Linked DNA regions of Anolis sagrei. The protein of the gene in region 2 interacts with the protein of the main gene of each other region in a pairwise test. Links are inferred from orthologs where the notes say so. Each region holds a gene or a part of one and is shown on either strand. Other genes may lie near its edges. The genes, in order: TRA2B and YTHDC1.

Region 1 (10,858 bases), on a different chromosome or scaffold from region 2:
TATCAGGGCAGATAATCCACAATATCTTATCTGAGTCCACACTGCCATATAACCCCGTTCAAAGTAGATAATGTGGGATTTTATGTAGCTGTGTGGAAGGGGCCCCAGTTCAAAGGACTTTACCCTTTGCCCTACAATCTGCTTGTTGCAAGAGTCCACGCCCAGCCCTCTCTAGCCTGATCATGCTTATCATATTCCTGGTTACTCAGTTGGTTTGAAATGGTTTTAAATGCTTTTTTATACTTTGTTGTTTTTAATTGTTATAACTGGACCGTTGCATGTTATTATGTCTCTAACTGCATTTTGTTTTATGTCCTGGGCATGGTCCCACTTGTAAGCAGCTCCGAGTCCCTTCAGGGAGATGGTGGCTGGGTATAAAAATAAAGTTATTATTATTAATATTATGGCATTTTCTGCCTTGATATATATGGCTGTGTGGAAAGGCCCCAGGAGCGTATCTGCAACATCTGCAATATCCAGATACACAAGTATTTTATGAATCCCTAATATCCAGTGCTGAATCAGTATCAATCACTAGATTTGAAAGATACCTGATTTCAGCTTGGTATTCCTCCAAATCTAGTTCATCTAAACAGGAGATGCACATGCAAGTAAAAGACAAACAGGCAAGGAGCTGCCATACTCATGTTCACCAACCACAATGAAGCTATCCAATATGTCTACTTTTGTTTGTTTTTTTCAATATTGCTTTGCTTTGAAGGGCAGCCTCCACAATGTAGGTTACACAATAAAATTAAAAACATTAAAATCCAAAATTTAAAGTAACAATAGCAGTGTAACAGTAAAATAATATAAACTACTTTAAATCAATAAAATGCAGCCTAGAATAAATGTTTAAAGTTAATTTAAAATTGGACACCAAGCTATAGTATTTATTTTCTAATCTTTCTGCAATTTCACTTCTCAATGGGCTCTAAGGCAAAGGACCTTGTAAAACTACTATTCCTATGCAGATTACTGCCGCTTCTCAATTAGCTCTCAATTTTATACAACTATTGAACTGTATTGTCCTTTACAGGTAAATAACTATGCTCCTTTGTTTAAGATTAACAGAGAAAAGGAGCTAGTCTAGAACATACTCTGCCACTTTATTTTTCATGTGTTTTCTTGCTGAAGCAAATTTTTATTTATTTATTTATTTCAATTACTTATACCCCGCCCTTCTCACCCCGGGGGGGGGGGGGGACTCAGGGCGGCTTACATAGGAGGCATAATTAGATGCCTAAATCAATCAACAACAATATAAAATACAAAACAATTCAACAGTTAAATTAAAACATCAGTGCACAATAAAATAAAGTCACCCACATATTCTCCTGTCTATTCCTCCAACCAGGAAGACAACTTCATAATGTGGCCTTAATTCAAACTATCAAGGTGGTTCTAAGCCTCTATTGTATGTCTCAATTTTAGTATAGGAAATATAGCCCTCTTTGCTTAAAGGATAGCCTTCACAATGTCTTTGCTTAAAGGATAGCCTCCACAATGTAGGTTACACAATAAAAGTTGAAACATTAAAAATCCAAAGTTATTGTATTGAGTTTTTTATTCCAATTTACTAGCATATTTCTTCCTTAAACATTTTTGCTACTTGCTTGAAATTTGGTATTTAAGGTACCATCTTTTAATACAGCTTACAATACAAGTTCCCAAGATACTGTCAAGCATGTTTTTAAAAATATAGGTTAAGTCTAACTTCCTCCTTCACTCAAAATCCAGAGGTTTAGAACCCAGATTAGGTTTGCCAAAGAATATGAAGGTTGAGTATCTCTTGCCCCAAATGATTGTGACCAAATGCTTTGGATTTCAGAATACAGTAGAGCAGGGGTCCTCAAACTAAGGCTCGAGGGCCAGATGCGGCCCTCCAAGGTCATTTATCCAGTCCTCACTCAGGGTCAACCTAAGTCTGAAACGACTTGAAAGCACACAACAATCCTATCTCATCAGCCAAAAGGAGGCCCACACTTCCCACTGAAATACTATTAAGTTTATATTTGTTAAAATTGTTCTTCATTTCAATTTTTGTATTGAAGTGTTATTTGCACTACAAATAAAATATGTGCAGTGTGCATAGGAATTTATTAATTTTTTTTCTTCAAATTGTAATCCAGTCCTCCAGCAGTTTGAGAGACTGTGACCTGGCTCTGTTTAAAAAGTTTGTGGACCCCTGCAGTAGAGTCTCGCTTATCCAACATAAATGGGCTGACAGAACGCTGAATAAGCGAAAAAGTTGGATAATAAGGAGGGATTATAGAAAAGCTTATTAAACGTCAAAGAAAACTGACCCAGTCCAGAACTTATATAAATCACTCACATGAGCATGCACATGATGTAACCCTATAAAATGGGATGGTGTGATATAATATATGGAAACTGCAACACTAGTAAAAAAAACTGCTTAGAGATTCTTGATCATGTTGTGGTTTCGTTATTCATATTTTGGTCCTCCAGGTGTTTTGAACTATAACTCCCACAATTCCTAACAGCCTAACAACTGTTAGGAATTGTGGGAGTTGCAGTCCAAACACCCAGAGGGCCAAATTTTTTCCATGCCTGTTTTACAATGTGTTCAGCATACTCTATCTAAGGTCCCTTCCACACAGCTGAATAAAATCCCACATTATCTGCTTTGAACTGGTATATATGGCAGTGTGGACTCGGATAATCCAGTTCAAAGCAGATATTCTGGGTTATATAGTTGTGTAGAAGGGTCCTAAGAGAGCTGGTGCTTCTCCAAACAACAAGCCCCATGATTGAGCCATAACCACTGAAGCGGCGGAAATCTGCATCAGAATAGTAATTTTACAAGGTCTTTTGCCTTAGGGCCCTTCCACACAGCCCTATATCCTAGAATATAAGGGCAGAAACCCCTACAACATCTGCTTTGAACTGGATTATCCGAGTCCACACTGCCATATAATCCAGCTCAATGTGGATTTTATACATCTGTGTGGAAGGGGCCTGGGCCACACACACATCCCACAAACAAGAATCACTGGGGGCCTTTCTACACAGCTCTATATCCCAAAATATCAAGGCAGAAAATCCCACAATATCTGCTTTGAACTGGGGGCCCTTACACACAGCTCTGTATCCCAAAAACATCAAGGCAGAAAATCCCACATTATCTGAGTGTGGATTCAGATAATCCAGTTCAAAGCAGATGTGGTATTTTCTGCCCCTAATATTTTGGGATATAAGGCTGTGTGGAAGGGCCCCCAGTTCAAAGCAGATCATGTGGGATTTTTTGCCTTGATATTTTGGGATATATGGCTGTGTGGAAGAGCCCCTAGGGCAGTGGTTCTCAACCTGGGGTCCCCAGATGTTTTTGGCCTACAACTCCCAGAAATCCCAGCCAGTTTACCAGCTGGGAGTTAAAAAACATCAGGGGACCCCAGGTTGAGAACCACTGCCCTAGGTTATCCGAGTCCACACTGCAATATATTCCAGTTCAAAGCAGATAATGTGGGGTTTTATTCATCTGTGTGGAAGGGGCCTAAGAGAGCTAGTGCCTCTGTAAACTACAAATCCCAGGACTGCACAGCACTAAGTGTTAACCGAGATTCAATCTGAACATGAGGAAGAAGTTCCTGACTTTGAGAGCTGTTCAATAGTGGAACTCTCTGCCCCGGAGTGCGGTGGAGGCTCCTTCTTTGGAGGTCTTTAAACAGAGGCTGGATGGCCATCTGTCGGCGGTGCTTTGAATGCAATATTCCTGCTTCTTGGCAGGGGGTTGGACTGGATGGCCCATGAAGTCTCTTCCAACTCTAGGATTTTATGATTCTGTGGTGCTTTGAATGCAATATTCCTGCTTCTTGGCAGGGGGGTTGGACTGGATGGCCCATGAGGTCTCTTCCAACTCTAGGATTACTGCCTGGCTTCTGCCAAGCCACGCAGGAGCCACTCTTCCTTCTCTCAGAGTGGTGAGAGAAACCAATACTGGTTCTAATAATTCGAAATTGAAAGGCGAGGCCGCCGAGAGCGACCTCTGCCTTCCTAAAACGTTGGTCCTGGGTTACACGTATAGGAAAGGGGGGGAGCGCGAGGAAGGCGCCTGCTTTCTCTTTCTCCCGCGAGGCGAGACCAGGGCGGCCATTTTGTCCCCGCGGCGGCAACAGCAGCAGCAAAGGAGGAGGAGGAGGAGGCGGCGCGCGCTGCTTCGGGTCACTAGCCCAAGATGGCGCCGGCCGAGGATCTCACCGCAGAGAGAACTCCACGTCAGAACCAAACGGCGGGCTTTTTCTCCCCCCCCTCGCGCGCCAAACCCACCCGACTCCCTCTGGACGTCCAAACACGCCCCCCCCCAGACCTCCATCTTTGGCCCTTTCCCTCTTGTATCCATCTTCCCTTTCAGAAAACAAAACCCCCCAAAAAGGGGGTATTTTAAATAAATATATATATCTATCTAACGGCCTATTTTGCTTGTGTTTTGTTTTTTCCCCTCCGCTTGGCGCCTCCGTATTACCCGCTCGCCGTAGTTCTGTTCCCCGCTGTCACTCATGTCTCCCGCCTCAGAGCTCGGGACGCCGACCGCGGTTGCTAGCACCGAACCGTCCCTTCGCCAGGCAGCCTTCTCCGCAGAGGAAGTGACGCAGCCGGAGCAGACCCCGCCCCCTTGCCCGCGAACGTGACGTCACAGCTCCCCCCCCCCACCGCCTCGCGCTGGAGAGAGGCACGTGCTGCCCTTCGAAGCCTCCAGAAACGCTTTATTGTATTGTCGAAGGTTTTCATGGCCGGAATCAATGAGTTGTTGTAGGTTTTTTTTCGGGCTATAGGGCCATGTTCTAGAGGCATTCTCTCCTGACGTTTCGCCTGCATCTGTGGCAAGCATCCTCAGAGGTTGTGAGGTCTGTTAGAACTGGGGAAAAAGGGTTTATATATCTCTGGAATGACCAGGGTGGGACAAAGGACTCTTGTCTGCTGGAGCTAGGTGTGAATGTTTTAACTGATCACCTTGATTAGCATTTGATAGCCTGGCAGCAGGCCTGTAGCGAGGGGGGGGGGGGTTAGGGGTTCAACCCCCCCCCCCCGAAAATTTTCTCCCCTGGTTTACTCATGAATTTTAACTGGTTAACCAAATCCCCATGCTAAATCTATGAGACGCAAAAAATTAAGAGTCCATCCAGAATTGCAAGCACTATCTCAAGCAAATATTTACAATTTATTCAGACTGTCATTACTTGCAGCAATAGCCAATGTAGCGAAGCAACCAAGTTGGGTGTGTGTGTGTTGAATGCTCTCATTAAGGAGGCCAGACTTGGTGGAGGTGGTTGACAGGGGCGGAGCTGCAAGCTATTGAAGGCTGCTCTGCCCCCTGCTTCAGCGTGAACTAAGAGGCAGGTTTCAACTCCCCCCCCCCGAAATTTTCAAGCCCCCCCCCGAAATTTTCAAGCCCCCCCCCTGAAATTTTCAAGCCCCCCCCCCGAAATTTTCAAGCCCCCCCCCCCCTGAAATTTTCAAAACTCCCTTCTCCCCAAAATTTTTCAACCCTCCCCGAATTTTTTTATGGCTACGGCCCTGCCTGGCAGTGCCTGGAGCAGCCTTTTGTTGAGAGGTAATTAGATGTCCCAGATTGTTTCCTCTCTGTTGTTTTGCTGTTGTAAGTTTGGAACGACTTGAAAGCATACAATAACAACAACAATCCTATTTCATCAGCCAAAAGCAGGCCCACACTTCCCATTGAAATGATAATAAGTTTATATTGGTTAAAATTGTTCTTCATTTTAATTATTGTATTGTTTTTAAGTGGGTTTTTTGCATTACAAATAAGATATGTGCAGTGTGCATAGGAATTCATTTGTGTTTTTTTCAAATTATAATCCAGCCCTCCAACAGTTTGAGGGACTGTGACCTCGCCCTCTGTTTAAAAAGTTTGAGGACCCCTGGATTAAGGCCTTGGACATATGAGAGACAAAGACTTGATCAACACTACCTTATTTAGGCGATCCCTCGTCAGAGTAGGATAGTCTTCCAAGGTCAGTGTACTGGTGGGTCTGTAGGTGGCTGTAGAGCCCTATTCTTGATCTGCATCTTCTCCCGCAGTGAGGGCACTGGTTTCCAGGTGTAAGGCAGTCTCTTGCCACATTTCTCTCTTTCGCCCTCCATTCGTGCCTCTTCAAATTCTACAGCACTGCTGGTTACAGCTGACCTCCAGCTGGAGCGCTCAAGGGCCAGGGCTTCCCAGTTCTCAGTGTCTATGCCAGAGTTTTAAAGGTTGGCTTTGAGCCCATCTTTAAATCTCTTTTCCTGCTCACCAACATTCCGTTTTCCGTTCTTGAGTTCGGAGTACAGCAACTGCTTTTGGAGACGGTGGTTGGACATCCAGACAACGTGGCCAGTCCAGCGGAGTTGATTGTGGGGGAGCATCAAATTAACTAATTTATGAGGCCATAAAAAAAGACTCCAGCAAAGCACTCCAGAAAAAGCATGCAGAGAATGCGGAAGTATTTCATCAGTGTCGCAGATGGACGATGAAAGCGACAGCTCCCCTGGCGGCCAGAAAAAGTTAAATAGCCTCTGTGTATGTCTGTATACACTGTATGTCAAATTGGCATTGAATGTTTGCCATATATGTGCACATTGTAATCCGCCCTGAGTCCCCTGTCGGGTGAGAAGGGCGAAATATAAATACTGTAAGTAAGTAAGTTGTTGTAACCTTGGTTCTGGTTTTTAGCCTGCTGAGGTTAAATAGCTTGCCATCTCTCTGGAAGGACTAAGGCCTTGGACATATGAGAGACAAAGGCTTGATCTACATTACCATATTGAAGGGAACAAAGAGCCTGATTGCATTTGATTATTGAACAATAGCAAGAACATGTAGAATAGGTTTGATTAAATAACTAGACTTAGTCTTTAGCATTAGAAGGAATTCAGCCTTAAGTGAAACACATAATAAATACCAGTTGAAAGAAGAGAAAACAGAGCCATAAAACACCCATCACCTTCTTTTGAGATGCAAAACGAAACAGTTGAAGGCCTGGAATGTCAAACCAAGGAACTCACAAGGCGATAAACTCAAGAAAAGAGGTTTTCAAGAAGGTCAAGGAGGACTTCGTTGAAGTCCTTACTGAAATCAAAATATGTGGCATCCACAGCATTTCCTGCATCTACTAAGCTTGTAACTATATTGAAAAAAGAGATAAGATGTGTCTGGCATGACTTGTTTTTGACAAATCCATGTTAGCTAGTAATCACAGCATTCTTTTCTAAGTGATTGCAGACTATCTCCTTCATGATCTATTTCAGGATCTTTCCTAGTATTAATGTCAGGTTGACTAGATGGTAACTGTTTGGATCCTCTTTTTTCCCATCTTGAAGATAGGGATCTGCCCTCCTCCTATCTGCTTGGACTTCTCCTGTTCTCCAAGCATTCTCAAAGATTATTTCCAGTTGTTTTGAAATGACTTCTGCTAGTTCCTTCAAAACTCTTGGATGTAGTTCAACTGGCCCTAGAGACTTGAATTCGTTTAGAGTAGCCAGGTATTCCTGGACTACTTATTTACCTATTTTGGGTTGCATTTCCTCTATTACCTCGTCCGCTCCATATTGCTCAGATTGAACACCAATCTCTTTTTGGGAGAAGACCGAGGCAAAGAAGGTGTTGAGCAGTTCTGCCTTTTCCCTATCCCCTGTTAGCATTTCACCACTTTCTCCATGCAGAGGACCCACCAAAGAACCCTTTTAAATTGTTTTTAATCTCTCTGGCAAGCCTGAGCTCATTTTACGCCTTAACTTCACAAAACATTTCTCTACATATGTTGGTTATTTGAATTCCTCTTTGGTGATTTCCTCCTTTTTCCATTTTTTGTGCATGTCTCTTTTAAATCTTAGCTTTGTTAAAAGTTGTTTGGACACCCATTCTGGTTGTTTTACATTTCTCCTTTTTTTCTTCTTCTTGCTGGCACTGTTTACAATTGTGCTTTCAGTATCTCACTTTTAAGAAACTCTCACTCGTCACTGACTCCCTTATCTTTTAGTATTCTTGTCCATGGAATCACACTCAGTATTTCCTTAAATTTCGTGTAGTCTGTGCACATTCAGAAGAAGACCTACAAGCCACTCTAAACACCTTTGCCAAAGCATACGAGAAGTTCGGCCTCTCATTGAACATTAAGAAAACTGGAGTGCTCTTCCAGCATTCACCAGCCAATACCTCTGCAATGCCAGAAATACAGCTTAATGGTGTAACATTATAAAATGTTGACAATTTCCGCTACCTTGGCAGCCACCTCTCCACAAAAGTCAACATTGACACTGAATTACAATACCGCCTGAGCTCTGCAAGTGCAGCATTTTTTCTAATGAAGCAGAGAGTGTTTGAGAATTGGGAGATCAAGGTGCTTGTTTATAAAGCTATTGTCTTCCCAACCCTGCTATATGCCTGCAAAACGTGGACTGTCTACAGACGTCACACTCAACTCCTGGAACAATTCCATCAGCATTGACTCTGAAAAATCCTCCAAATCTCCTGGGAAGACAGGCAGAAAAATGTAAATGTGCTGGAAGAAGCAAAGACCACCAGCATTGAAGCAATGCTCCTATGTCATCAACTCCGCTGGACTGGCCATGTTTGCCTGAATGTCGTCTCCCAAAGCAGTTACTATATCCCCAACTCAAGAACAGGAAACATAATGTTGGTGGACAGGAAAAGAGATTTAAAGATGGGCTTAAAGCCAGCCTTAAAAACTGTGGCATAGATATCGAGAATTGGGAAGCCCTGGCCCTTGAGTGCTCTAACTGAAGTTCAGCTGTGACCAGCAGTGCTGCAGAATTCGAAGAGGCATGAGTGGAGGGCGAAAGGGAGAAACATGCCAAGAGGAAGGCGTGTCAAGCCATCCCTGACTGGGACCACCTTCCACCTGAAAACCAATGTCCTCACTGTGGGAGAATATATCGATCAACAATAGGGCTCCACAGCCACCTACGGATCTACCGCCACGATACTACACATGGACGACCATCATCCTTGGGCTATGAGGGATCGCCTAAGTAAGTATTTTTAAGAAACTCCCATCCATTATTAACTCCCTTCTTTTTTTTTAGTGTTTCTGTCCAAGGAATCAGGCTCAGTATTTCCTTTAATGTTGTGAATTTTGTAAAAACAACCGAAAGTTCTTGAATGCGTGGTTGACTTCTCTTAGTTTTATATCATTATATCACAAACTCCAGGGGCACATGGTCACTCCCACCTAAGGATCCCACCACTTCAACTCCATTGACCAGATCCTCAGTGTTGTTTAGGATCGGATCCAGAATAGCTGATCCCCTTATTGCCTCTTCTACCTTCTGAACAATAAAATTGTCAGAAAGGCAAGTGAGGAATTTGCTGAACTTTTTCTTGGCAAAGTTTGTTTTCCAACAAATATCAAAGTAATTGAAATCCCCAATTACCACTATGTACATAGTTGAGTAATTCACCCCCCACCTTATCTCCCAATCCATTGTGAAACGATTATAGAAATTAAAGGCAGGGGATTTGGGTGTGACCAGACGACATTCTAGAGACAGTTTACAACAATGATTAATGGGTTTTGTGGAGCTGCAGTTTCCATTTCATATTATGTTATATATTTCATAATTTGAGGGTCCAATTTCTCAATATCAGGAATATTAAAAAATAAATAATTAAATCATTAAAATCAATGCAAATCTCTTAAATTACAGAAAAAACTAATAAATATTTGCTTTAGGGGCTGATGCCAGTTTGCAACCTCTTAATGTCATACTCTTTGTGCATATTCCAACATTTCCTTTTGTTTTAATATTTGTGTTTAATAGATTTTTAAATTAGCATTTTTAAGGTTGTGAGCATCTTTGGGTCTAGGTCCTGAGAGAAAAGACGGATATAAGTAACAATAACAACAATAGTAGATAATCACAACAGCAACAACAGCAACACTACTACTACTACTACTACTACTACTACTAACAACAATAATAAGATTGAACTATGGGAAAAGTGATTAATAATAATGATGGTAATATACCAAACTGCAGGTCAGCTTGCAGTCTTGTTTTTTCATTTGTTTTGTATCCTGACATTCTCACAAAATGGGACTCAAACTTGGATTATAAATTAAGATAACATGGCTAAAGTAATACTCTTTCTCTAGACCTAAGGCACAAGGCAACTTACAATGATTTAAAAGAGAAGTGTGTTAGGCTTTTAAACAATTTGTAGTGTTTAAAAAACATGGGTAAAATATACATTTTTTTTCATTTCAGGAGCAACTTGAGCGACTTGACAGCCAATGGGCATTTAAGTTGCCTTTCAATTTGTAGTGACTCCATGCATATGGTCTTCTTAGGCAAGGAATATGAAGGAGTCATTTGCTAATTTCTTCCTCTGAAATATAGCCTACAGCCCCTAGTTTTTATTGGTGATCCCTTATCTAAGTACTGCTGACCCTTCTTGGTTTTAAAAATCATATGGGATCTGATGCCTTTAGGGCAGTGGTTCTCAACCTTCCTAATGCCACGACCCCTTAATACAGTTCCTCATGTTGCGTTGTCACCCAACCATAAAATTATTTTCATTGCTGCTTCATAACTGTAATTTTGCTACTTTTATGAATCATAATGTAAATATCTGATCTGCAGGATGTATTTTCATTCACTGGACCAAATTTGGCACAAATACCTGATAACGTCCAAATTTGAATACTGGTGGGATTGAGGGCGAGGGGTTGATTTTGTCATTTGGGAGTTGTAGTTGCTGGGATTTATAGTTAACCTATAATCAAATAGCATTCTGAATGATGGAATTGAACCAAACTTGGCACACAGAATTCCCATGACCAACAGAAAATACTGGAAGGGTTTGGTGGGTATTGACCTG
Region 2 (10,896 bases):
GAAACACAACAACAACAATACAATACAACAATAAATAACTCATAGCAAAGCAAAACAATAACAAAAATCACGGCGCATTTAAAAACCAGTGGCAGGGCCAAATGTAATGATTAATTTTTTTTAAATGCTGGGCATGTCCAGGTGAAATAGGATGGATATTTTGGGGATAAGAGGGTGTGCAGACTTCTAATTCTCTCATAAAGTGCATTTGGGACATATTGCTTGGGATTGCTTAATCTGGGAAGGCACACTGGAACATCCATGTTTTCAAGCTCCTTCTGAAGACTGCCAATGTTGGGGAATGCCTGATGTCCTTGGGGAGGGAGTTCCAGAGTTGTGGGGCCACCACAGAGAAGGCCCTGTCCCTCGTTCCCACCAATCGCGCTTGCGATGCCAGTGGGATCGTGAGCAGGGCCTCTCCAGATGAACGAAGAGATCGTGTGGGTTCGTATACGGAAATGTGGTCACGCAGGTAGGTGGGTCCCAAACCATTTAGGGCTTTGTAGGTAAGCACCTGCATCTTGAATTGGGCCCGGAATATGAACGGCAGCCAATGGAGCTCCTTAAACAGGGGGTTGACCTCTCCCTGTAAGGAGCACCAGTTAACAACCCGGCCGCCGCCCATTGAACCAACTGAAATTTCCAGGCTGTTTTCAAGGGCAGCCCCACGTAGAGTGCATTACAGTAGTCCAATCTGGAGGTGACTAAGGCATGGACCACCCTTAAAGCCCTAAACGGTTCCGGCCCAAGATACCTTTCCGACCGCATCTCGGCCTATGAACCCATCAGGACTTTGAGATCTTCCGGGGAGGCCCTGCTCTCGATCCCGCTGGCTTCTCAAGCACGGTTGGCAGGGACGAGAGATAGGGCCTTCTCGGTGGTGGCTCCTCGGCTGTGGAACGCCCTTCCTACAGACATTAGGCTGGCGCCATCTCTCATGACATTCCGAAGAAAGTTGAAGACCTGGATGTTTGTGCAGGCGTTTGAGTAATTTAGTGCAATCTGGTCATGGAACATAGGAATGGAACAATGGACGACGAACCTGGACTACGCTTGGATGATGAGAAGATTGGGAATGGTTGTTTTTTGTAATAATTGTGCATTGTAATTGCTTATTGGTAATTTATGGATAATGTGTTGTTATATATGGAACCACTGCTGTTTCTACTGTTTTAACTGTTTGTGAACCGCTGCGAGTCGCCTTCGGGCTTGAGATATAGCGGTATATAAGCAAAGTAAATAAATAAATAAATAAATAAATAAATGGACCACCCTGGCCAGATCCGCTTTCACAAGGTACAGTCGCAGTTGGCGCACGAGTCTCAATTGTGCAAAGGTCCTCCTGGCCACCGCCGACGCCTGAGCTTCAAGCATAAGTGATGATCAAGCCACCAAACCCTTCCAAAGTGTTCTGTTGGTCATGGAAGTCATGTATGCCATGTTTGGTTGAATTCCATCATTGGTGGAGTTCAGAATGCTCTTTCATTGTAGGTGAACTATAAATCCCAGCAACTACAACTCCCAAATGTCAAGGTCTATTTCCCTTAAACTCCATCTGTGTTCATATTTGGGCATATGGAATATTCGTGCCAAGTTTGGTCCAGATCCAACATTGTTTGAGTCCACAGTGCTCTCTGGATGTGGGTCAACTATAATTCCCAAACTCAATGTCAATGCCCACCTAACCCTTCCAGTGTTTTCTGTTAGTCATGGGGGTCCTGTATGCTACGTTTGGTTCAGTTCCATCATTGGTGGAGTTCAGAATATTCTTTGATTGTAGGGGAACTATAAATCCAAGCAACTATAACTCCTAAATGACAAAATCAAAAAAATTTGAGTGAAGGACATACATTGGGTTGTTAGGTGTCTTGTGTCCAAATTTGGTGTCAATTCGTCCAGTGGTTTTTGAGTTCTGTTAATCCCACAAACGAACATTACATTAGGTTCTTGTGGGTTTTTTCGGGCTATAGAGCCATGTTCTAGAGGCATTTCTCCTGACGTTTCGCCTGCATCTATGGCAAGCATCCTCAGAGGTAGTGAGGTCTGTTGGAATTAGGACAATGGGTTTATATCTCTGTGGAATGGCTGGGGTGGGGCAAGGAGCTCTTCCCTGCTGCAGTTAGGTGTGAATGTTTCAGCTGATCACCTTCATTAGCATTTGAAGGCCTGCCTGAGCCTGGGAAAATCTCTTGCTGGGAGGTGTTAATTTGTGCCTGGTTGTTTCCTCTCTGTTGTTTTGCTGTTGTAATTTTAGAGTTTTTTAATACTGGTAGCCAGATTTTGTTCATTTTCATGGTCTCTTCCTTTCTGTTGAAATTGTCCACATGCTTGTGGATTTCAATGGCTTCTCTGTGTAGTCTGACATGGTGGTTGTTGGTGTGGTCCAGCATTTCTGTGTTCTTAAATAATATGCTGTGTCCAGGCTGGTTCATCAGGTGCTCTGCTATGGCTGACTTCTCTGGTTGAAGTAGTCTGCAGTGCCTTTCATGTTCCTTGATGCATGTCTGGGCGCTGCGTTTGGTGGTCCCTATGTAGACTTGTCCACAGCTGCATGGTACACGGTAGACTCCTGCAGAGGTGAGAGGATCCCTCTTGTCCTTTGCTGAACGTAGCATTTGTTGGATTTTCTTGGTGAGTTTGTAGATGGTTTGTATGTTGTGTTTCCTCATCAGCTTCCCTATGTGGTCAGTGGTTCCCTTGATGTATGGCAGGAACACTTTTCATAGAATCATAGAATCATAGAATCAAAGATTTGGAAGAGACCTCATGGGCCATCCAGTCCAACCCCCTGCCAAGAAGCAGGAATATTGCATTCAAATCACCCCTGACAAATGGCCATCCAGCCTCTGTTTAAAAGCTTCCAAAGAAGGAGCCTCCACCACACTCCGGGGCAGAGAGTTCCACTGCTGAACGGCTCTCACAGTCAGGAAGTTCTTCCTAATGTTCAGATGGAATCTCCTCTCTTGTAGTTTGAAGCCATTGTTCCGCGTCCTAGTCTCCAAGGAAGCAGAAAACAAGCTTGCTCCCTCCTCCCTGTGGCTTCCTCTCACATATTTATACATGGCTATCATATCTCCTCTCAGCCTTCTCTTCTTCAGGCTAAACATGCCCAGTTCCCTAAGCCGCTCCTCATAGGGCTTGTTCTCCAGACCCTTGATCATTTTAGTCGCCCTCCTCTGGACACATTCCAGCTTGTCAATATCTCTCTTGAATTGTGGAGCCCAGAATTGGACACAATATTCCAGGTGTGGTCTAACCAAAGCAGAATAGAGGGGTAGCATTACTTCCTTAGATCTAGACACTATGCTCCTATTGATGCAGGCCAAAATCCCATTGGCTTTTTTTGCCGCCACGTCACATTGTTGGCTCATGTTTAACTTGTTGTCCACGAGGACTCCAAGATCTTTTTCACACGTACTGCTCTCGAGCCAGGCATCACCCATTCTGTATCTTTGCATTTCGTTTTTTCTGCCAAAGTGGAGTATCTTGCATTTGTCGCTGTTGAACTTCATTTTGTTAGTTTTGGCCCATCTCTCTAATCTGTCAAGATCGTTTTGAATTCTGCTCCTGTCCTCTGGACTATTGGCTATCCCTCCCAATTTGGTGTCGTCTGCAAACTTGATGATCATGCCTTCTAGCCCTTCATCTAAGTCATTAATAAAGATGTTGAACAGGACCGGGCCCAGGACGGAACCCTGCGGCACTCCACTTGTCACTTCTTTCCAAGATGAAGAGGAAGCATTAGTGAGCACTCTCTGTGTTTGTCCACTTAACCAATTACAGATCCACCTCACCGTAGTTTTGCCTAGCCCACATTGGACAAGTTTCCTTGCCAGAAGGTCATGGGGGACCTTGTCGAAGGCCTTACTGAAATCCAGGTACGCTACATCCACGGCATTCCCTGCATCTACCCAGCTTGTAGCTCTATCGAAGAAAGAGATCAGATTAGTCTGACATGACTTGTTTTTGATAAATCCATGTTGACTATTAGCGATGACTGCATTTGTTTCTAAGTGTTTGCAGACCACTTCCTTAACAATCTTTTCCAGAATCTTGCCCGGTATCGACGTGAGGCTGACCGGACGGTAGTTGTTTGGGTCATCCTCTGGGTGGATCTTCATCTTTACTCTCGTGGCTTGTTCTTGGTCTTGCAGCTCTTCTGATGTCTGAGGTGGAGTATCCATTGGCCTGGAGAGCCCAGTTGAGGTGGTTCAGTTCATCTTGGAGGAGGTGGGGTTCGCAGATTCTTTTTGCACGGTCTGCCAAGGCTTTAATGGTGCTTCTTTTTTGACTTGGGTGATGGTTGGAGTTTTTATGTAGATATCTATCTGTGTGTGTGGGTTTTCTGTAGACGGTGTGACCCAATTGTTGATCTGGTTTGCGGATGACTAGGACATCTAGAAAAGGCAGTCTTCCTTCATTTTCTTTTTCCATTGTGAATTGGATTTTTGTTAAGATGGTCCAGGAAACTGTTGAGTTGTGTATGCCATGTTTGGTTGAATTCCATCGTTAGTGGAGTTCAGAATACTCTTTGATTGTAAGTGAACTATAAATCCCAGCAACTACAACTCCCAAATGTCAAGGTCTATTTCCTCCAAACTCCATCTGTGTTCATATTTGGGTATATGGAATATCCGTGCCAAGTTTGGTCCAGATCCATCATTGTTTGAGTCCACAGTGCTCTCTGGATGTGGGTGAACTATAATTCCCAAACTCAATGTCAATGCCCACCAGTTTTTTCTGTTGGTCAGGGGAGCTCTGTGTGCTAAGTTTGGCCCAATTCCATCATTGGTGGAGTTCAGAATGCTCTTTGATTGTAGATGAACTATAAATCCCAGCAACTACAAATCCCAAATGTCAAGGTCTATTTCCTCCAAACTCCATCTGTGTTCATATTTGGGTATATGGAATATTCGTGCCAAGTTTGGTCCAGATCCATCATTGTTTGAGTCCACAGTGCTCTCTGGATGTGGGTGAACTATAATTCCCAAACTCAATGTCAATGCCCACCAAACCCTTCCAGTGTTTTCTGTTGGTCATGGGAGCTCTGTGTGCTAAGTTTGGCCCAATTCCATCATTGGTGGAGTTCAGAATGCTCTTTGATTGTAGGTGAACTATAAATCCCAGCAACTACAACTCCCAAATGACAAAATCAAAAAATTTTGAGTGAAGGACATACATTGGGTTCTTAGGTGTCTTGTGCCCAAATTTGGTGTCAATTCATCCAGTGGTTTTTGAGTTCTGTGAATCCCACAAACGAACATTACATTTTTATTTATATAGATAGAAGATAGATAGATAATGAATATTATGAAATATAATTTAATAATAATGCTGGCTTTTGTATTGGGTGATGATGATGATGATGATGATGATGATTGTTATGTGTGTATGTGCAGCTTTCTTCTCACTTCCACCTCCGGAGAAAGAGGTGTAAAGTAGGCTTGGGCAATCCATGGTTCTAAATGGTTCTAAAGTATTTACAAAACTAAAGTTCTGGTGGTGAAAATTTCAGAACTCTAACAAAACTCTCAAAATTTCATGATAAATGGCAGTTCCTAATTGGTTCTGTCATTAAAATTACCAATAATGAAATAATAATGAAATTTTGAAAGTTTTGTTAGAGTTCTGAAATTTTCACCACCAGAACTTTAGTTTTGTAAGTACTTTAGAACCATTTAGAACCATGGATTGCCCAAGCCTAGTGTAAAGCTCGTCGCAATGAACCAAGACGTTCCCGATGTGAGCAAAGAGATGGAGTGCTCTATAAATATATATATCTCTAGGCTTGACGTCGACAGAGCGAACGGCACTTCGCATGCTATGACGTCAGCGTGCGTGAAAGGCGAGGTGCATTGTGGGAGGCAGGGGATTGTCGCGTAGGGAGTCGGGACGGAAGCGAGGGAGGAGGAGGAGGGGCCTGCGCAGTCTCCATTTTGGTCGACGGTGGGGAGCGGCAGAGGAGCGTCGCTCTGCTTGAGGCTCTCGGGCCGCTTCTTGTCATCGCTTCCTTGCCCTCGTCCACATAAGCGAGCGGCGAGCACGCTCTCTCTCAGGCGCAACAAGACGCCAAGGCGCCGTCTGGACGAGGGAGTCGGCGGCGGCGGTGGTAGCGGAACGATGGCGGCCGAGAGCCGGGAAGAGAAAGGTACCCGAGAGCCGCCTCCCCCTCCTTGGTGAACCTTCTCGCTGCCATAGCAACGGGGCCTGGGTGGGAGGCGGAGGCGGGGGCCTCGCGTAGAAGCGCTGCCTGGGAAGGTCGCGCGCTCGCCCTACTCTACCCCAGGCTCGGGCCTTGGATCCCCTTCTTTCAAGGAAAGGTCGCCTCGCAGGCCTTCCTTGCCTCCCTCCCCCTGTTTCACGAGAATCTTCGGGGAGGAAGGGGGCACTTCAAGCCCCCTCTACACTGCCATACAGAATCCAGATTATCTGCTTTGAGCTGGATTAAAGGCAGTGTAGACCAGTGGTTCTCAACCGTCCTAACGCCGCGACCCCTTAGTACAAGTCCTCATGTTGTAGTGACCCCCAACCATAACGTTATTTTCGTTGATACTTCATAACTGTAATTTTGCTACAGTTGTGAATTGCAATGCAAATATCTGATATGCAGGATATATTTTCAGTCACTGGACCAAATTTGGCACAAATGCCTGATACGCCCAAATTTGAATACTGGTGTGGTTGGGGATGATTTATTTTGTCATTTGGTAATGCTGGAGTTGCTGGGATTTATAGTTCACCTTACATCAAATAGCCTTCTGAACTCCACCAATGATGGAATTGAATCAAACTTGGCACACAGAATTCCCATGACCAAGAGAAAATACTGGGAAGGTGTGGTGGACATTGACCTTGAGTTTTTGGAGTTCATCTATATCCAGAGAACACTGTGGACTCAAGCAATGATGGGTCTGGATCAAACTTGGCACAAATACTCAATATGGCATTTGGGAGTTGTAGTTGTTGGGATTTATAGTTCACCCACAATGAAATAGCATTCTGAACCCCACCAATAATAGAATTGGACCAAACTTCCCACCCTAAACCCCCATGACCAACAGAAAATAATATGTTTTCTGATGGTCTTTGGTGACCCCTCTGACACCCCCTCCCGACCCCCACAGGGATCCCGACCCCCAGGTTGAGAAACACTGGTGTAGACGCATAATCCAGTTCAAAGCGGATATCTGATTTGATAATTTGGATTATATGGCACTGTAGAAGGGGCCTTGGTTTCTCCACTAGCATATAGTAAATGTGTTTTTGATCCTAATTTAAAACAAAAACCAGCACATAGGTGCTTTTTCCAAGTCATCAGATGAGATATGTCTGCATGGTTTGAGGCCTATCATTAAAATATCCAACCTATTTCCCTGGACATGCCCAGCATTTTCAAATTTTAATTCTTACATTTGGCCCTGCCATCGGTTTTTAATTGCACCGTGTCATTATCGTATTGTTTTGCTTTCTTATGAGTTATTTATTGTTGTATTGTTGTTATGTTTTATGATGTATTTGGGCTCGGCCTCTTGTAAGCCGCACTGAGTCCTGTGGGAGATTGTAGCAGGGTATAAATAAAGGTTTATTTGAGCTGGATTAAAGGCAGTGTAGACGCATAATCCAGTTCAAAGCGAATATCTGATTTGATAATCTGGATTATATGGCACTGTAGAAGGGGCCTTGGTTTCTCCACTGGTATATAGTAAATGTGTTTTTGATCCTAATTTAAAACAAAAAATAGAGGTATAAATAAAGGTTTATTATTATTATACAATACATACAATACAGCAATACATGGAGCGAGAGTTGCCAGATGTTCAAGATGGGTTTAAAAAAGGCAGAGGAACGAGAGACCAGATTGCCAATATCCGCTGGATAATGGAGAAAGGCAGGGAGTTTCAGAAAAACATCTACTTCTGCTTCATTGACTATTCTAAAGCCTTTGACTGTGTGGATCATAATAAATTGTGGCAAGTTCTTGGTGGGATGGGCATACCAAGCCACCTTGTCTCTCTCCTGAGGAATCTGTACAAGGACCACGTAGCAACAGTAAGACTGACCACGGAACAACAGACTGGTTCAAGATTGGGAAAGGCGTACGGCAAGGCTGCATACTCTCACCCAACCTTTTAAACTTGTATGCAGAACACATCATGCGATGTGCAGGGCTTGATGAATGCAAAGCTGGGTTGAAAATTGCTGGAAGAAACATTAACAACCTCAGATATGCAGATGACACCACTCTGATGGCCGAAAGCGAGGAGGAGCTGAGGAGCCTTCTAATCAAGGTGAAAGAAGAAAACGCAAAAGCCGGGTTGCAGCTAAACATAAAAAAAACCAAGATTATGGCAACAAGAATGATTGACAACTGGAAAATAGAGGGAGAAAATGTGGAGGGCGTGACAGACTTTGTATTTCTAGGTGCAAAGATTACTGCAGATGCAGACTCTGGCCAGGAAATCAGAGGACGCTTACTTCTTGGGAGGAGAGCAATGTCCAATCTCGATAAAATAGTAAAGAGCAGAGACATCACACTGGCAACAAAGATCCGCCTAGTCAAAGCCATGGTATTCCCGGTAGTAACCTACGGATGTGAGAGCTGGACCTAAGGGAAGGCTGAGCAAAGAAAGATGCTTTTGAGCTGTGGTGTAGGAGGAAAGTGCTGAGAGTGCCTTGGACTGCGAGAAGATCCAACCAGTCCATCCTCCAGGAAATAAAGCCCGACTGCTCACTGGAGGGAAGGATACTAGAGACAAAGTTGAAGTACTTTGGCCACATCATGAGGAGACAGCAAAGCCGACAATTATGCTGAGAAAAGTAGAAGGTAAAAGGAAGAGGGGCCGACCAAGGGCAAGATGGATGGATGGCATCCTTGAAGTGACTGGACTGACCTTGAAGGAGCTGGGGGTGGTTACAGCCGACAGGGAGCTCTGGCGTGGGCTGGTCCATGAGGTCACGAAGAGCCGGAGACGACTGAACGAATGAACAACAAATTATTTATTTATTTATTTCATAGAATCATAGTTGGAAGAGACCTCATGGGCCATCCAGTCCAACCCCCTGCCAAGAAGCAGGTATATTGCATTCAAAGCACCCCTGACAGATGGCCATCCAGCCTCTGTTTAAAAACCTCCAAAGAAGGAGCCTCCACCACACTCCGGGGCAAAGAGTTCCACTGCTGAACGGCTCTTAATCAGGAAGTTCAGATGGAATCTCTTGTAGTTTGAAGCCATTGTTCCGTGTCCTAGTCTCCAAGGAAGCAGAAAACAAGCTTGCTCTCTCCTCCCTGTGACGTCCTCTGACATATTTATACATGGCTATCATATCTCCTCTCAGCCTTCTCTTCTTCAGGCTAAACATGCCCAACTCCTTAAGCCGCTCCTCATAGGGCTTGTTCTCCAGACCTTTGATCATTTTAGTCGCCCTCCTCTGGACACATTCCAGCTTGTCAATATCTTTCTTCAATTGTGGTGCCCAGAATTGGACACAGTATTTCAGGTGTGGTTTAACCAAGGGTAACATTACTTCCCTAGATCTAGACACTATGCTCCTATTGATGCAGGCCAAAATCCCATTGGCTTTTTTTGCCGCCACATCACATTGTTTGTGCTAGATGTGAGCTCTGTGTTACAGCAGTTCAGTAGTTATTTAAATGCTGCATAAAACGTGATGGACAACATTAAAACGTGTAGAAAATATGGGTTGCTCTTCCACTACTGAGTATTTGTGGGCAGAATTAAGAACAAAGCGGGGTAAGAGGAATAATGTATTTAAATAGACTTACTTTACAAGTGTGAGTCGGCCCTGTTATCACACAGCTTGATCCTTGACATAATTATGCATTTATTTTTAGGTTCAGTGCTTGTTTTAAAAATAATTTTAGAAAGCTTTTCAAACCCAAGGAGGGGGGGGGGTCCTTTTTGCATTTCACAGGAACAACGTACTGCAGAGTGGTGACTGCAGTAGTTCTGCCTTCTGTGTGCTGAGGCAAATATTGACAAGGTAGTCTTGCACAGTCAGGTTTATGTAGGAACACCTTATATAGGTGTATCATGATGACTATGAAATGAACTGGAAGATTGTAGCCTGCATTTTCATTTCCATCTTGTCTCCTGGAGATGCCATCAGCTGGAGATGCCTCTCCCCAACACAAACTTGCTCTGGGCCAGAGTGAAGAGAGGGGAGGCCAGGGGACAGTTCCACCTTGTCTCCTGTGCTATTCTAATAATATAATATATTGTATATACATATAATATTTATAGTATTAGATATATAATACTATATTATATATCTAATACTATATATCTAATACTATATAATATTATATATTATATACTAATAATATAATATATTGTATGTAATATATACCTTCTGAGCCGCTCGTGAGTCCCCTTCGGGGTTAGAAGGGCGGCATGTAAATGTCGTAAATAAATACATAAATAAATCTGAACTGCTGAAGATTAGACTATAGGGATAATATTTGAGGATGGAAGGCTTAGATAGTAAATTGTTAGTTCATAGGCAGTTCACCAAAGTATGTTGCTTGTACTTATGAATTTGAAATCTTTTTTTAGACTAATGTATAATTTGAGGTTCTTGTAAAGATGGGAAATAGAAATTTTAAACTGTAACACCCATAAAACATTTTTGTGGGCTTTCTCAATACCTACTTTACATGTGTTACACATTAACCGTATTTTGTTTTGTTGGCAACTCCTCTAGTCTGGGGAAACTGCTACAAAAAGCTTTTCTGGTTAAACATACCAATAAAAATCTACTATTAGGATGGCACTGATCTAGTATTAGGATGGCACCAATACTCAGAATGAATTATTTGCTTTTGATGAAAATTATGTTCCCAATCACATCTCTGCCAGATCACCTGTCAAGGAAAAA

What was found.
Region 1: the proteins of YTHDC1 (region 2) and TRA2B interact in binary tests that used the Homo sapiens proteins (3 or more experiments, as listed by UniProt). The link is inferred for Anolis sagrei from reciprocal best matches to the Homo sapiens genes YTHDC1 and TRA2B.

What each region holds. Positions count from the first base shown.
Region 1 is NC_090023.1:222,897,307-222,908,164, forward strand, and holds the start of TRA2B (transformer-2 protein homolog beta), read right to left. Parts: upstream 4,637-10,858; 5' UTR 4,523-4,636; coding exon 4,487-4,522; intron 1-4,486. UniProt on the Homo sapiens protein: Sequence-specific RNA-binding protein which participates in the control of pre-mRNA splicing. Can either activate or suppress exon inclusion. Acts additively with RBMX to promote exon 7 inclusion of the survival motor neuron SMN2.
Region 2 is NC_090026.1:55,921,100-55,931,995, reverse strand, and holds the start of YTHDC1 (YTH domain-containing protein 1), read left to right. Parts: upstream 1-5,885; 5' UTR 5,886-6,120; coding exon 6,121-6,148; intron 6,149-10,896. UniProt on the Homo sapiens protein: Regulator of alternative splicing that specifically recognizes and binds N6-methyladenosine (m6A)-containing RNAs.